2 linked regions of the Tribolium castaneum genome follow. The main gene of each other region encodes a partner of the protein of the gene in region 2 in a complex. Links are inferred from orthologs where the notes say so. Each region holds a gene or a part of one and is shown on either strand. Other genes may lie near its edges.

Evidence for each region. Proteins that work in one complex are often made in the same cells at the same time.
Region 1: MED23 (region 2) and MED9 share a complex: the UniProt entries of both Drosophila melanogaster proteins name them as parts of the mediator complex. The link is inferred for Tribolium castaneum from reciprocal best matches to the Drosophila melanogaster genes MED23 and MED9.

Annotation. Positions count from the first base shown.
Region 1 is NC_087395.1:15,954,406-15,962,197, reverse strand, and holds MED9 (mediator of RNA polymerase II transcription subunit 9), read left to right. Parts: upstream 1-2,714; 5' UTR 2,715-2,755; coding exon 2,756-2,856; intron 2,857-2,912; coding exon 2,913-3,018; intron 3,019-5,484; coding exon 5,485-5,622; 3' UTR 5,623-5,626; coding exon of another isoform or gene 5,627-5,884; 3' UTR 5,885-5,889; coding exon of another isoform or gene 5,890-6,501; 3' UTR 6,502-6,553; downstream 6,554-7,792. Other genes in the region: Mrgn1 (E3 ubiquitin-protein ligase MGRN1), read right to left, coding at 16-255, 1,561-1,712, 1,761-1,948, 1,996-2,255, 2,304-2,436, 2,482-2,564; protein NCBP2AS2 homolog, read left to right, coding at 5,627-5,884; protein YIPF3-like, read left to right, coding at 5,890-6,501; Dgp-1 (GTP-binding protein 1), read right to left, coding at 6,606-6,818, 7,498-7,792. UniProt on the Drosophila melanogaster protein: Component of the Mediator complex, a coactivator involved in the regulated transcription of nearly all RNA polymerase II-dependent genes.
Region 2 is NC_087394.1:35,201,621-35,209,377, forward strand, and holds MED23 (mediator of RNA polymerase II transcription subunit 23), read right to left. Parts: upstream 4,985-7,757; coding exon 4,571-4,984; exon of another isoform or gene 4,526-4,570; coding exon 1,037-4,525; 3' UTR 978-1,036; downstream 1-977. Other genes in the region: uncharacterized protein LOC658853, read left to right, coding at 206-302, 348-887, 934-977; stress-associated endoplasmic reticulum protein 2, read left to right, coding at 6,389-6,472, 6,531-6,641. UniProt on the Drosophila melanogaster protein: Component of the Mediator complex, a coactivator involved in the regulated transcription of nearly all RNA polymerase II-dependent genes.

The DNA of each region.
Region 1 (7,792 bases), on a different chromosome or scaffold from region 2:
AAATAAATTTATTACGTCTGGTGGATTGATTTGAGCCAGATTCGGGTTGGCGCACTTTTGCAATGCCCGAATTTGTAAAAGCGCCCGGAAGGGGGCGCGACAAATCGGGCAATTATTTGCTTGATAACGGAGCGAGTCAGCGCATGAATTACACAAACACAGGTGGCGGCAAGGTAGGATCAGAGTGTCTCGAACGTCGCACATGCAAATAACGCATTCCGAACCGTTATCTTCAGTCTCGTCGTCGCCGGATTGCTAGAAAACGTGGTATTTAATACGCAATGTGCTGGGCAGTTTGTAATCTAATTAACAACACTAGTTTACAATTTTTTTTTCTGCTTACTCACTGTTAACTATTTTCCTATCTAGTTTTTCTAGTATATTCATTGAAAGTTTTGAAAATTTGTTTCTGGTGTTTAGTTTGGCATTCGTTGTTTCTGTAATAAACTAACTGTTAAACATTTAATTTGCTGTAAAATATTATCAAGTGAATGTAGATTAAGCCCAAACAACTTTTTTTTGTTTGCGGTAAAATTATCCAAATAAAACCTGAAAAACTTAAGCGATCAAATGGTTAACGTTGTCATCAAGATTTAAAGTCTTATGAAAAGGGGAATACCAAGGTTTTGCACTGACACTAATCAGTACAAAAAAAAAAGAAAAAATCTGTGTCATAATTAATTTTTCAAAAGCTCTGAATCCATCTTTTTTGTGGTGTCTTTGGCATTCATTATTTGTGTGATTAACAAATTCTTAAATATTTTATTTGCTTTAAACAACGTTTTTTATTTTAAGTTTAATTTTTTCTAACAAAACCTGAGACGCTTAAGCAATGAACATGGTAAATGTTTCCATCAAGATTTAAAGTCTTATGAAAAAAAATATTTTTAGGATAAAAATATGTTATTCGTTTACTACTAGTCTACATTACGATAAACTGACCTTGATAGTACAAAAGAAAAAGCATTCTGTAACATTTTTGAAGTTGCAAAAATCGTCAAATACTGATACTTTATAATGAATATTAAAAAAACTTGCCGTTCTAATTTTTTTTTGACTTCGGTATCAGGACTAATTATTCTACAGATAAACATTGGTTTTATCTATTGGTAAAAAACGTTGTAAACTAGTGTAATTAATGCAGTGAAATCCCCCTTAACGGACAACTCCTATAAGCGGACTTCTGTGACAGACGGACAATTTTGTTGACCCCGTTTTGAGCTAATTTACTTTAAATGGAATTGCTTTTCTTTTAAGCGGACGCTCCAATAAACGGACGCAGACAATGCAAATCAGATCCTTGAACACAAAATCTCGCCTTCAAGCAGACAGCATGTTAATTATGACAATTCGTCAGAAAAAAAAGAATACATGTTTTATTCAATAGTAAACTGATTTAGATTCTGGCCTCAGAAGAGGTTTTAAAGTTATGTGTATTATTTATTGTGGCTTAGTGCCAACAAAATTGTCCGTTTGTGAGAGAGTTCCGCTTATAGGTGTCCGTTAAGAGAGATTTCACTGTGTATTTATGCCCAGTAGGGCATGTAAATAATCAATCACCTTGTCGTTATTTTTGTTCTCAATGCCGTATATTTCCTGCAGGAGGTAGCAAAGACCGTCAACGAATAATTTCTGTTTGAGAGCTTTTAAAACATAAGTACCGTCGGACAATTTTTCGGCTGTGGCGATAGTTGTGTGTGATTGTCTCATTTCTGGAACAATCAATTCAAAAATTAAATTCAAAAACGGGTCAAACCAACCCTCAGCGCCTTCCTCCGCCACACAGTGAATGGCAATTGGAATAATCTCCCGGTCAACATCATACAACAACTCCTCTTCTGTGTACTTCGAGGGATCAAAAACGTGAGTCATTTGGCAAAACTGTTGGTTCGCACCGCGTTTGTAATGAAAAGTCTCGGAGGTCGTGTTAGGGTCACGCGGCAAGTACCTTCAAACCCCATAAAATTGCAAACCCATGACAAAAACCCAACTTACGTGACTCCACTTGGTGTAAACTCCTCGGTACAAAAATAGTAGATTGTTATTGCACACCTGACGTCACAATCGAACGTGAACTCGATATTAAACGTCGAGCTCTTGCCCAGCTCAATATCCCTGATGTCCCGCTCGTTCTTTTCCGCCGGTTTGGAATAATCAGCAGGGGCGCGGACAAACCGCAGCGACTCTTTCCGGATGTTCACCAGACTTTTGAGCGTTTTTGTGGGCTCATTAGGCTGGGGCGGGGGGTAGGGAAACTAGAAACGGCACTGTGGGGGCGAAACAACCGCATAATGGCTACTTACAGGGGTTGGTCTACTGCCCAGGAAATTCAAATCGGAGTTCTCGCCGAAGAGGTAAGACTCGGGCTGGGGGGTGTCGAAGCGCTCGCCCCCCATTATAAAGTGGCTCCCGAAGTAGTTCCCTTCAGAAAAACGCCTTCAAGGTAATTGGTACGGAAAAAAGCAAAGCGACATACCAGACCTGGGCGGGTACTTGTACGCGTGGTTTGACACCACGTCCACTTCCTCGACCCCTGCGTGTTGTCTGCTAGCCAACGAACCCATTCTGCGGGCTTGAAATTGCCAAGTTTTTCCAAAATCAGAAATTATTGTTGTTTTTAGTTTGACATTATTATTGACACTTGTGACATTTGAGGCGTCGTCGCCAACACCAGGGACACAAAATCCCTGAGTGAATGTGTCAGAAAATTCATGTGGGAAAGAAAATTCAATGAAAATTCAGGAAATGCCTTGCTATGATGGAATCTGACGAGCACAACCAGGAGTCAGAGAGGAATGTCACGGTGGAAAATTTGAATATCGAGATCTTGCCCATTATCTACGAAATAATACGCAGGTTTGTTGATAAAATTAGTGACAGGCAAAATCGTAATGTCTTGCATAATCATTCAGTGTTGAGAAAGACCACCACGATAACACCGCCAAGGCACGAGAGTCGCAAGACTGTTCCCAGAAGGTGCTCGAGTTGCAAAAACGTTTGGACCAAGCCAGAGCCGAGGTAACTTTCTTCCACCCTAATCACTTCATACCCATAGTAGGGGATACGAATTAGGATCATACTGTACTATCTTCTGGTTACCGGATGAAAATATCTTTTTATCAGAGATAATATCCAAAGTCCAAAGGATTGTATCGCGAATAGGTTTCCTAAAAAAAATGTTCCAGGCCATGGTAAAGGGGGCTAAAAAGCGTCGAATTTTAGCCTTTTTTCAGTATTTTACAACTGAAGGCTACAGGGGAAAAACAACCTCAGTCCACTTGTTTGAGAAAATGAGGTGGGGTTGTAATATTGTAGTTTTTGAGAAAACAATCAGATAATTGAAGCGGGAAATAGCAAATACGACTTCAGTATTGAGCAAAATATGTTACAAATTACACTATAATGAAAAAAGTTATGGTTCCACGTTAGAAAACTTTAAGGATATAATTATTTTTTAGCTCACTGCAATCAAGAAAATAAAAAAAGTTAAGAGGCTTGTTAAAATTTGAATAACTTTAAACTTAAATGAAATACCGTATTTTTTATTTTTGCATCTAAAAGACCTTTAAATTGTCTATTAAAGAACATTAACAGTTAAGTGCTGATTACTCAAAAGATTATACTTAACTTAAAACATTAAAAAAAGTCATTAAAAATTATTCACAATTGTTTCAATAGTCGAAGAGTAAAATTTTCAGCTAATAATAACTTTATTATTTTTCAGTTATTTTTCACAGTAAAATAACTAAAATTTTCTTATCTATGGCGAATTTTTAAATCCCTGTTTAAACTCCAACAAATGATCCGTGGTGAAGTTGCTAAGGTTATGGTAACAGTAATCCTCATGAATAATCTGCATTGTTGATGAAATTAAATTTTAAAGTCAAATATTTGTTTAATTATAAAGGTTAGGCATTTGAAACTTTGTTTTTAAGTAGACAATTTAATAATCTTTGAAAAATAAAAACAAAAACTTTTATTATGTTATTCAACTTTTAACAAACTTCATAATTTTTCTACGTTCCTAATTGCATGCGTTAACCAATTTAACTTTGAACATTCTTAAAAAAATAAGTTTGTATTGTAGCTAATTTCGGAAATATCCTATACAGGATGATTCAAAAATGTTCGACAAACACTCGTATGGTGATAAAAGACGTTCAGTTAAGCACAAAAATGAAGTCAGATTTTTTTATATATTTTTAAGTTTGTATTCCTTAGCAACGGTATCGATTGTTTCTCTTTTGTTTCCTAATATGTTGAATTTAAGATATTGTCGAATTTACAAGTTTTTTTATTGTTTTGCACATAATTAGACATTATTTGTTAATTTTTTTCAACAGGTATTTGTTTAATGTTGCAAGAGATGTCGTTTCTGCTAATTAAGGTCAAAAAAATATGGTCCGAAGCATCAAAAAATTAACTTAAAAATTTAACTTTGAAGAGCTGTAGCTATCTCGTGAAAAAAGACTCAAACAATTTTTTGTCATAGGAACTTTTAATTCAGTTTGATGTCCTTTATCAGCACCCGAGAGATTGTACGAGTACTTTTGAATTACTCTGTATATTTGAAAGTAGTTTTAGATGAGGCAGGTGATTAGTATCTACAACTTAAGGAAAAATAATAATAATAAAAACCCGTTATATGTACGAATAAACAGGTGGTTTCAAATGAACAGCAAAGTTGCTGTTCTCTGCTCTTCCACTTAAACCTTTCAAACAAGAAGAAATATACAGCAAATGAATAAAGACAAAATAAAAAAAAATTGACATAACAAACCAGTACAAAATAACCAGTAGATTCCCATGACTGTCCTTGTTCGGAAAATTATTTGTCAAATATTGCAGCCTTGAAACTATAAGAAGATTCAATTTCTAGAACTGTCGATGGATGCTATTATAATCTTTAGCTACATTAAAAAAGGGACTTTTAAAAGAGACTTGTGCGACTTACGGTAACATTATGTATGTCACGACGGAAGATTATTTCATCAGTGGGACTTGGAAGTAACTATTTTGTGATATAAATAAAGTCCAAGTTTTGTTAATTTGATTTTTATATAGCATGGTCGCCTCACGTCCACTTTCAATTATTTGATCTTTATTTTTTTAAGTTTTCATTTTTTCTTGTTAATTTTCAATACTTTACACAATCATGCAAAATTCGATTGTCTAATTTCAACACTTTTAAATTTGTGTTTGTTAAATAATATTACATTGTTGAAAATGAACCTAGAATGATTCAAAGTGAAAAAACTTGAAAAACTTTATTTATACTCCTTCCTCAAAAGCCCAAGTATGTTGGAATTTCCTGATGCCATAGGCAAACCGGAGACAAGAATTCTGAACCAATTACTTTTCTAACAATTAAAGATAAATAATGGACTTTACCTACTCGCATTTTTGATAAAATAAGCTTCATCCGTTAAACAGATGAGTGCAGAACGACCGTAATTCGAATCTTAGACTACCAACCCCTTGCAGATCCGGCTATTGCCCGGGATTGAGTACAGCAAAGAGCAGCAACTGGACCACTTGGAGGCCCTCAAGACGCAGCTGAAACTCAAGCAAGAGCTCCTGCGCAAATACCGCTACATGTACTCGTTTGAAGTCCCCAAATAACAGCATGGTGTTTCGCCTCCTGATCCGCTTGCTTGCAAACAACGAACAGTTGGTGCAAAGACTGAGCGAATCGTACCCTATGCGCAAAGCGGCGCAGGTCGTAGTGCGAGCTGTCTACCACGGCAAGAATCTCATCGAGGAGCGGGGTCTTGACAAGCGGCTATCGCCCGAGGAGTTCCGCGCTTTGATGAAGCGAATCGCCCAGAATTTGCAAGGACAGATCAAGCAAGCCAGTGACGAGTTCAAACACAAAATGAAATAGACGCCATGGCGACCGTGATTTTCGTCGGCTCCCCGGAGAAAAGTCCGAAAAGTTGCGCCCAAAAATTCAAGTCGTTGTTCCTCGTGCCGCCACACGATGTGATTTTTCGGGTTTTTGCCGCGTTCGTGCCGCCGGTTTCCAAAAAGTATCAGAAGGTTTACGTTGATTTGCAAGGGCCGGTCTTGGCCCTTGTTCTATTGGCTGCTTTGCTAAATTATGGCTACTCGTTTAAACCACGCAATACGTTTCGCTCGCCGACCGAAACCGTCGTTATTTACAGCTTAACTATGCCGCTGTTGGCGTTTTTCGTGTGCAAAATCGGGCGTTCGTGTATCACTCTATCGGAAATGACCTCTCTAATCGGGTACGGCTTATACGGCCACATTTTCACACTGTTTGTTTCGTTTTTACTGTTTGAGGAAGCCAGCAATTTTTTCTTCTTCGTGTGTTTGATCGTCTTTGGCGGGCTAAGCACGCTGCGAATTGCCTTGGTTGTTTTGGGGACTTTGTTCGTACCAGCGGCACGACTATTGATTTGTTCGCTTATCTCGATTTGTAATATCTTGTTTGTGATTTTTCTACATTTTGCCTACATGCATCGGACTTTTATCTCGTAGGAAATTAACAAAGGATTGTTACATAAAAACTCTAATAAAATAAATTACTTTATTTCTGCCTTTTTCTCACTCGGACTTAGTTAAAAACGAAAGAATTTGCGCGATTATTGCACTTTTGTCGAATTGAGGTTTGAAATCGAATTGATGTTAGTCTCAGTGAGAGGTTTTGCGGTGTTTGAGTTGGCATTATTGTTTTTACCACGACCTCCGCGCCTACCTCGACCTTTCCTCGAGCCGGATTTTTGGCCACTGTGCTCACGCTTATCGGTACTTCCCTCAAACGTTGTCTCCCCAACGGCGGTACCAATCTCTGAAAACTAAAAAACACCAGTTGTTCAAAAGTTAAATTATCTAAATTTGCTAAGAAAAAAAAAATGATACGACTTAGAAAACACTATACTTATGGTAGCGCTCAGCTCTATTTGCGTGTGCGTCATCTGACATTTCTGTCACTACGTTTACATAGCAGGGGCATAGCGCTGACAAACTATCAAATATTTTTTGAGGTTACGAAGTGTTTAAATTAAAAAAATACAAAAAATATATTATTCACAAAACAAGAACTAATAAACGCAGAATCAAAAACCTAACGAAACGCAAATCACAAAACACAATAAAGGAACGGAAAATACTTGCGATTAACACCGATAACACTTTCGACAACCATGCGACGACGTCTATAATTTACTGTCAATGTCAGGCTGACAAATTCGTGACACTTGACGGTGTTGTCGAAGTGCACATGTAAATTAATGTTCAAGGATACCACCCTTAGATACCCCTTAGTTGTTTAAATTTGCATTGTTTTTGACAATTTTTTTACAGCTTTGTGTTGGTAATGAAAAAATGAAATTGATGACGCACACGCAAATCGAGCTGACCGCCACTATAACTAGAGTTCCTATACTTTTTATGTTTGCTATGTGTTAACCGTTTTACAAACAGCATTTATTATTTTACCAAGCGTTTACGATTTATAAGTGTGCTTAGCGTTACCTCTTGTAAACCGGACTGAACGTTTTTGGTCACGTGGTTGGTTTGTGTGTTTCCCCCGCCGTATCTTTGTTGCTTGTTTTGTTTCGTCCTTGTATTGGGATGCGTGGGCGTTGTTTGCGTTATAATTCGCACAATGTTGCCAACTGCTTTAGTGCGACCTTCACGGAACACCATTCTTTGACCCGGAGTCATGTACTCCGGGTGTTTGATAAAACGGAAGTGAATTATTGCTTTATCGCCTGTTCTGAGACAATCTTTAGACATTCGGACGATACTCGCAGTTTGTCGGATGCTT
Region 2 (7,757 bases):
TTATTGTTAATTACGAGCTGATCAATTATGTTTATCGTTCCATTACACTGATTACTCTAAGACATTACAATTTCCAATTTTTTGTATTAATATTACTCAATAACAAAAAATTCTACTCACACGTTCAACTGAACGTGACATTTATGGGTTATGTTATCTAACCTAAAAAATAGTCGCATTTTAATTTTTTACTTGATAGTAAAGCATGACTTCTGTCGAGGAGAGCCTTGAGAACGCAACAATAAATTCATCATCGACTGATAATTCCGATGACTCAAGTAGCGAAAGCAGCGATGAAGAAGGTAGCGTCACAGCCCCCAAAAACTAGACTTAAAATGATATTTCAGTACCCGACTTTCCCATTGCCATGTGGGATTTTAATCAATGTGACCCCAAGAAATGTTCAGGCCGCAAATTATCGCGTCTAAAATTAATTAAAACCCTAAAAGTCAAACAAAAATTTCCAGGGCTGGTATTAACCCCGACTGGCACTAAATGCGTAAGTCCCAATGATCGCGACATTGTTTCAAGCAAGGGGGTAGCCGTGGTGGACTGCTCATGGGCCAGAATCGACGAGACACCCATTGCAGCACTCAAGCCCCAACATGGGCGCTTATTACCGTTTCTCGTGGCCGCAAACCCCATCAATTACGGGCGACCTTGCCAATTAAGTTGCGTTGAAGCGATAGCCGCAACTTTGTACATCACCGGATACAAAAAATTAGCTCGGCAGTATTTAGATAAATTTTCGTGGGGACATTCATTTATCGAACTGAATAAAAATATATTGGAGGTATATTCAAATTGTAGCGACAGCCAATCGGTGATTGCCGAACAGACCAAATATATAGAAAATGAGCAAAAACAGCAAGAATTGGCCAAACAAGGTATGTAACGACGAAATGTTACCAATTAAATAACAAACTGTTTTAGCGAAACCGGATTTTCCAAGTTCAAGGGAGAGTGAATCGGATTAAGTTTTTTATTTTTTTATAAAAATGTATTTACGTAAATGTAAAAACATAATACAAGTGAGTTACGATGCATTAACTTCCTCAATCGCCAAATGTGCGATAAACCTCAACCTCATTTGCAAAGGCGGTCTTAACCGGCGCACCACAGTCTCCAACTCCTTCTTCATGCTATCCCCCACAAACATGTACTTAATGTGGTACAAGAGATCGCAGATCGGGTCCATATATTTCAACTCGCTGTGCGCGTGGTCAACTTGTGCCAACAGTTCGTACAAAGCACTCGTCAATTCCACTATTGCCACGTTAAACCGTTGCAAAAAGGGCCCCACAAGATGACAAACATAGAGAAACTGTTCTTCGGACCGTACCACAGCCGGTAAACACTCACGCGCCCATCGGGGCACACTGGCGATCTGCCCCGGACCAGCGTGATGCCAAACCGAATGAGCCAAAGCTAGCATATAACTAAAATTATTATGCAAAAGCCCAGCGTGGGTTTCTTTGAAATCGAACAAACGGAAGGGAGAACAGTCAAAATTCCACGTTTCTAGCTCGTTTAACGTGGCCACAAGTCGATCGTGTAGAACACTCCAGTAGCTAACTGGAAGCGCTGCCAGAATTAAACCAACAGCATTGACCCACTGGTGGATGTCTGACGAGGGAATTGTGACATAGCCTTTGGCCACGACGTCTAGCAAACCGTTGGCTACGGCCACCGGACCGGCGGACAACGCCATCAGTTCCACACAGCTGGTGTAAAGAATATGAGCCCCGGCGTTTGGGAACTCATTGAACCGCCAATCAATTACGGAATTGGCAGTGGCGCCCCCTAGAATATCAACGACTCGCTTGACCACTTGTATGTAATAGTCCAGTTCGGGGGTCCACATCTCGTCAGCAGCTCGTCCGAGGTACAGTTGGTAGGGCTCCGAAAGACTGTCTTTGAGTGTCCCTAAGACAGCAGCCACCAACCGTCGTTTCAAAGGTGGACGGTCCCTAAGCCTAGTCTCGTAATAGTGCAAAGTGTTGTACAAATAAGTGACCGGACGGTCATGAAACTTGTACAAACAACCCAAGTGTTCTAACAGAATCTCCAAACTTTTGGTGACTTGCGGTATTTCCAAAAACCGGTGCACCACTATATCAAAAACCGGCAAAAAGCGCAAACACACGTTGCCAAAATAGGGGTGGTAACCACTTGACTGTTCCTCGGGGGCAAACTTCTCGGGGTATTTCCGGTGAAACTCCAAGTGTTTCTCGTGCCAGTTGGTCTGGTTCCAATGATCGGGCGAGTTGTCTTTGACGAAATCCTGCACCCGATTCCTAAACTCTGTAGCTTTAAGCAACACCAACTGGATGATGAACGAACAGACTTGAGCCTCGCTCCCTTCCTGCGTCCGCAGCGCCAAACACAAGACCAACCGATCGATTGTCACAATATTGTACTTCCAGATCATGTCATTGATCGTATCCACGCATTTGTTAACATGTTGCCCCCCAGGACTGTTACTAAACTCGAACACGAGACAATCACAAAACTTCCTCAAGTGGGCCGAAAGCGCCCTTGCCCCAATCCTCTCCAGGATTTTGTAGGCAATTGGCGTGATGTGATCAGTCTCGAGGAGCATTTTCCACAACAAACAGAGGAAAAGTGGGGGCGCTCCCGCAACCCCAAAATGCGCCATCATGTCATTTTCGTTGTTCATGGACGACCACTTCCGGTACTCCTCCTCCACTGCTTTCTTCAATTGTTGTTTGTTTTCTTTAGGGACGGCATGTTGCGTGAAAAACTCGGCCAGAGCCCTGGGGAAGCATTCGAGGGTGTGGGGGGCCCACGCATGGGGGGTACTTTGTGCAATGGTCGCCAGCAACTCGTGACACCACGAGCCGTCGGCCCCCGTCACGTGCGTGGCCCTAGCTAGGGTCAAAACCAGCGCCCGATTCAACTCTTCCGATTCCGCCGAAATTAACGTCTTGGGTTCGGCTAAAAAGCGGCTCAGTTCGGGCTGAACTTCGCCACTGCCCAGCCCCGTGATTAGACGCAAAGCGGTCGATTCGACACATAAGTGCAGTTGGGTTTGGTTGGCTTGCGGCACCGCTGCCAACGAATGCAAGTGGCTGAGTAACTGGACACGGTAGTGGGGGTGGATGTGGTGCATCCGATAACTAAACATCTCCAGAAGTGTGTAAAGGGTGCCCCAAGCGTGTGACTTGTATACGGTTGGCAACAACTGGCTTATGAACCCTTTGATGCCCAACGATTCGATCTCGGTGTACACCAACAGGCGACTGTACGTTTCCACCAAAGCTGGTGATAGTGGCATTCCTAACTTGGCCTGTGCTAGTTTAATCACGTGTGTGACAATACTATGGATTAAGCTCATTTTCGAATGCACAGTTAATGAGTCCAAGACGGCCATGCTTAAAGGCGCGGTAGGTGGGGCTGTTGATTTGGGGCTCCCTTGGATCGTCTCAACTAGCGCTGCCATTGGCTTACTGTAATAATCGGGGTTCGTTGAGTAGGCGTTGCACAACAAGGCGATTCTGTAGTCATTTCCCATCGCTAACACGGTGTTATTAGGGGGCACCAACTGTTGGAGGAAATCATGATGGTTGCGTAGTTTGGCGGGAATTGGCCAAGTCAAGTTGGTCATTTCGGCTTGCGCTTTCTTAGTCAAGTGGATCCAAATGCACGTCATTGCCATCTGTCTCGTACACTGGGGCTGGTTGAAGTCCGGAACGGGCAAAGGGGGCTCCTGTTCCGGAAACAACAGTTCGTAAAGCCGCAAAACTGGGAGGAAATTCGAGAGGGGGTTCTTCTGAATCGAACCGGAAATAAACTGCAAGAGGACCCACATGAGTTGGTCGCGCCCTCTCCGCAAGTCGCGCCCTTGCAGTCTCGAATGCAACGATATAACAATGTTTGGGAAACTCGCAAATTGGAAAAGAACAAAATAAATTAACTGGGACGACAAGTGCAGCCATAACCCTTGAGTGGCGCTCTCATCGCCCTCATTTTCCGTGCGTTCCAGCGCCAAAATCACCAACTCGACCAGTTGTTCCTCAAGGGCGGCACAGTGTCTCTTGTGCTGTTTCTGCAACCCTAACATGCCACACACCATGTCGCGACTGTACGGCTGTTCCAGAACGTATCGTAATAAACCGGTTTGCTTCTCTAGTAATTCGGGAGCGTACGGTAAAGTGCCCTTAAGCGAGAATCGCAACGTGCACGGGTCAAGTTTCCAGGGATTGACCAAGTGTTCGGGACAGCCGCTGTGCTCCACAACTGGCCGCATTTCCGCCTGGCCTACGATAGCCACCATTTGGGCACAGGCCCGAAAACTGCCAACGTAATCGGAGAAGAGGGCAGCAAGGCGCCAGTGGGGGCAGTCAGGGTAGGCCTTCTGGAGCTCGTTCACTAGGAGATAGCCAGGCAGGAGGCACGCGTTCCTGTCCATGATTCGTTCAGCGACGCTTAAAAGAGCCTGGGTTTGGGGCTGCAAGCCCGCGTTCAAGCGCCAGGGGAGACTTTTCGCCTTCTCGCAACATCCCTACAATCAACAATCAAACAATTACCACAACAATTCCCCACTTACTTTCATAATTTCGCGAACGCCCTTGTATTCAACCAAATCTATAATTTTCCGCACGAGTTTAAAGCACTCGATCCAGAACCGCGCATTGGTGTGTTGTAGTTTATCGAAATTCATCACCACCTCACACACGATACGGGCCCCAATGGTACCGTTGCGCACGACACTTTCCAGGAGCTCCATCAAGAGCTGGAGCTTGCTTTGGGAACATAGTACAGCAGTGTTGAGGTACTGGCGAAGGGCGGTGTCTAGCTGCTCCTGGGGGATGCTCCGCAGGGCTGTGTTCAACTCTTGTTGCCATACAGCCACCTTTTCCTTTTCGGCACTGGGGCGGTGCACTAGAAAGCAACTAAAGGCTTCTTCGATGCCTTCAACTTTGAGAATGTCGGTTAGGACGTTTGTTAGTGGCTCGCCCATCGTGTCCACGGTTATTTTTCAGGCGAAAACATTATTTTGTGGTTATTTGAATGGGATAATAACGGTAGGTTATGTTTGGCCGACTACATGTTTAGGCAACACATTATACAAGCGCCTAACACTGCAGAACCGTATTCGATTATTTTGACTTGCTGGGTGAATCCTCAGAGATAATAAATAATTGCGTGCGTTGTAAGATGTTATCAACTCTCAAACAACGTCAATCTAAATTATTCCATACCTAGCCACATTGTAATAAAATTCATATCAGCCCGAATCTATTCGTTTATTTGCATATCCACTTCATACGTGAAAATTTGTTTGCTTATCTTTTAATAAAGGCAATATTATTACCGCACGTCTCGTTCATTATGCGCTTAAAGAGTTCTTTTTGTCTCACATTTCGATATGAACTCACAGTTCATAGAACAGGTGAGGTGTCACTCATTTAAATCGTTTTAATTTATTTGTTTCTTCTCCCTAGGTGCAAATTTTAATGCACGCTCAACAAATTAAATGTGCGGAAAGTATTTTTGGGAAATCAAACTACATGTGGCTTTGCAGCAAAAGAACTCCCGTTATTTGGATGTCGACGAAAGATGAATTCTTAATTCGACAAGCCCTAACAAAGGTACAATTTAATTGTTGCAATTAAACGTGCAATTATCCTTCTTTAGGTCACTCCTGACCAACAGGTGAAAGTTATGAAACAATTATTGACTTGGCTGGATAATAATCCCGAAGTCCACTCTTTGAAAATCCCTGAAATGTCGCTAAAGCTCCTCAACAACATGGCTAATGCCAATGCCATGAATGAAAGGACTTTTTCAAGAATGAATAGTTTCAGAAACAGTCTGAGACGCTTGTCCTTAATTACGAACCGAATCGCTCCCGCAAACACACCCAGAAGATCCGTAACTTTCAACGACGTTCCCATAATTTACCGCATAAAATACTGACAAAAAAGTAACGAAACCTTTACAATATCTATGTAAAATTTGTGCCGAAATAAATGCACCTTAAAATTTTTGTTTTTTGAAAAATCTGAGTTAAAAATCAGGGTAAAAAGTCAAATTCAACGTTGTTTTTGATGTTTGAAAAAAATGCATAGAAGATAGGAAAATGACCAAGAAAACTAGGCATATACTTGATTATCATAAATTATTGCAAATTGAATGAACCCATTGGAAATTTCTAGCACTCCCTCCCTTGTTTGAAATTCTCCACGCGTCCGTGGCGCATGCGCATTTTCATCTTACGTGTCAAATAAACGTCAAAAAAGCGCCTCCCTTGCCCCTCTCCGCACTTTTCGGGCCAGTGTCGAGGCACGGACGTGTCAAAAACGCGTGTGTATGTTTTTCTGTTGAATTATTTCCACTTTTCCGTATTTTTTTCCTGTGAACGATGGCTCCCAAACAGCGGATGCGTTTCGCCAACGAAAAGGCCAGCAAGAACGTGGTCTTGCGAGGGAATGTGCCCAAATCGTCGGTGAGTACGCTGGACCATATTGTTTGTTGATGGGGAGCTGACGGTGCCCCTTTTGCAGAAGCAGCAAAGCGAAAACTCGCCAGTGGGGCCCATGATCTTGGCGCTGTTCATCTTCGTCGTGTGCGGATCGGCGATTTTCCAGATTATCCAGTCCATTCGGATGGCGTAGGCTAGGCTTCCCTCAAAGGCTCAATTCCTATCGTGTATAAACCGTGTCTGTTCAGTTATTGCATTTTGTTGTTTTCTCTATACTTATTTTGTAAATTTATCGTTTGTGGAATATAATTTTATCAGAATTTTTATCATGTATAAAGTGTATTTTTACATAAGTTGTACTAGAATTGGGTGGTACTACTTTACGCACAGATGCCTATAATGAGATTCTTTTGTAACCATTCCATGCTTAATTTTAGGAGACAATTTGTGTAATTACCATATTTTCAATGACTATTAAATTATTGAGTTAAAACCTCGTTTTATTTCATTGCATTACCTACACTCACAACTAGTTGTGTTAGAAATGGGGAGTAAAAGTAACAGACAAACAGTTAAAAAAAAGTATTACCCCTGTTACCTCACTGAAATTTCAAGTTCGGCAAATTTCATAAAGAAAAAAATTAACAAACAGATATAAAATCAGAATGTATGGTTTGTGGAGTGTATTTTGTGTTGCATTTGTGCCTAATCAGGCGCGGAATCTTATCAATATCTACAAAATTGTTATTTAAACCGATTTTATCAATATTTCGTTTTTTCTTTTAGCTCTAGCAATAATTTATCTGTTATCGGAACAAAACACAACAAGAGGATTGTTTTTGTTATCAATAGGTATAATTATTACGAACATACAATACTATTACTTCGTGTCATTTTTCTTCTACCGTTTTTCTTAATTTTATTCACATACAAAATAATTGAGCCTTTTCTCCCTAAACTAGGTTCTCATCTTGTGAAGAAAATTTGGTATTTATCGATAGCTTCTGTGTTCTGCATGAATTAAAAAGAAACAATTTCTACATTATTGTACCCTTATTACTAAGTACATACAATTTTTGGAAGTCCAAATACAGTTTGCAAGCATTATAAAAGACATAAAAAATCGAATTAGTTTAATTTTGGATTAATTTTTAATTTGCTTTCTGTAAACCAATCCTTATAATAATTATTATTAATTAATTACTTTCAAAAATTTTTTGTTATTAGTAATGTTTTTTTTTATACCAAACCACTTTAATAGAAATCGCTTTTGAGTTATTTATTTATTTATTTTTATTACAAAATGTTT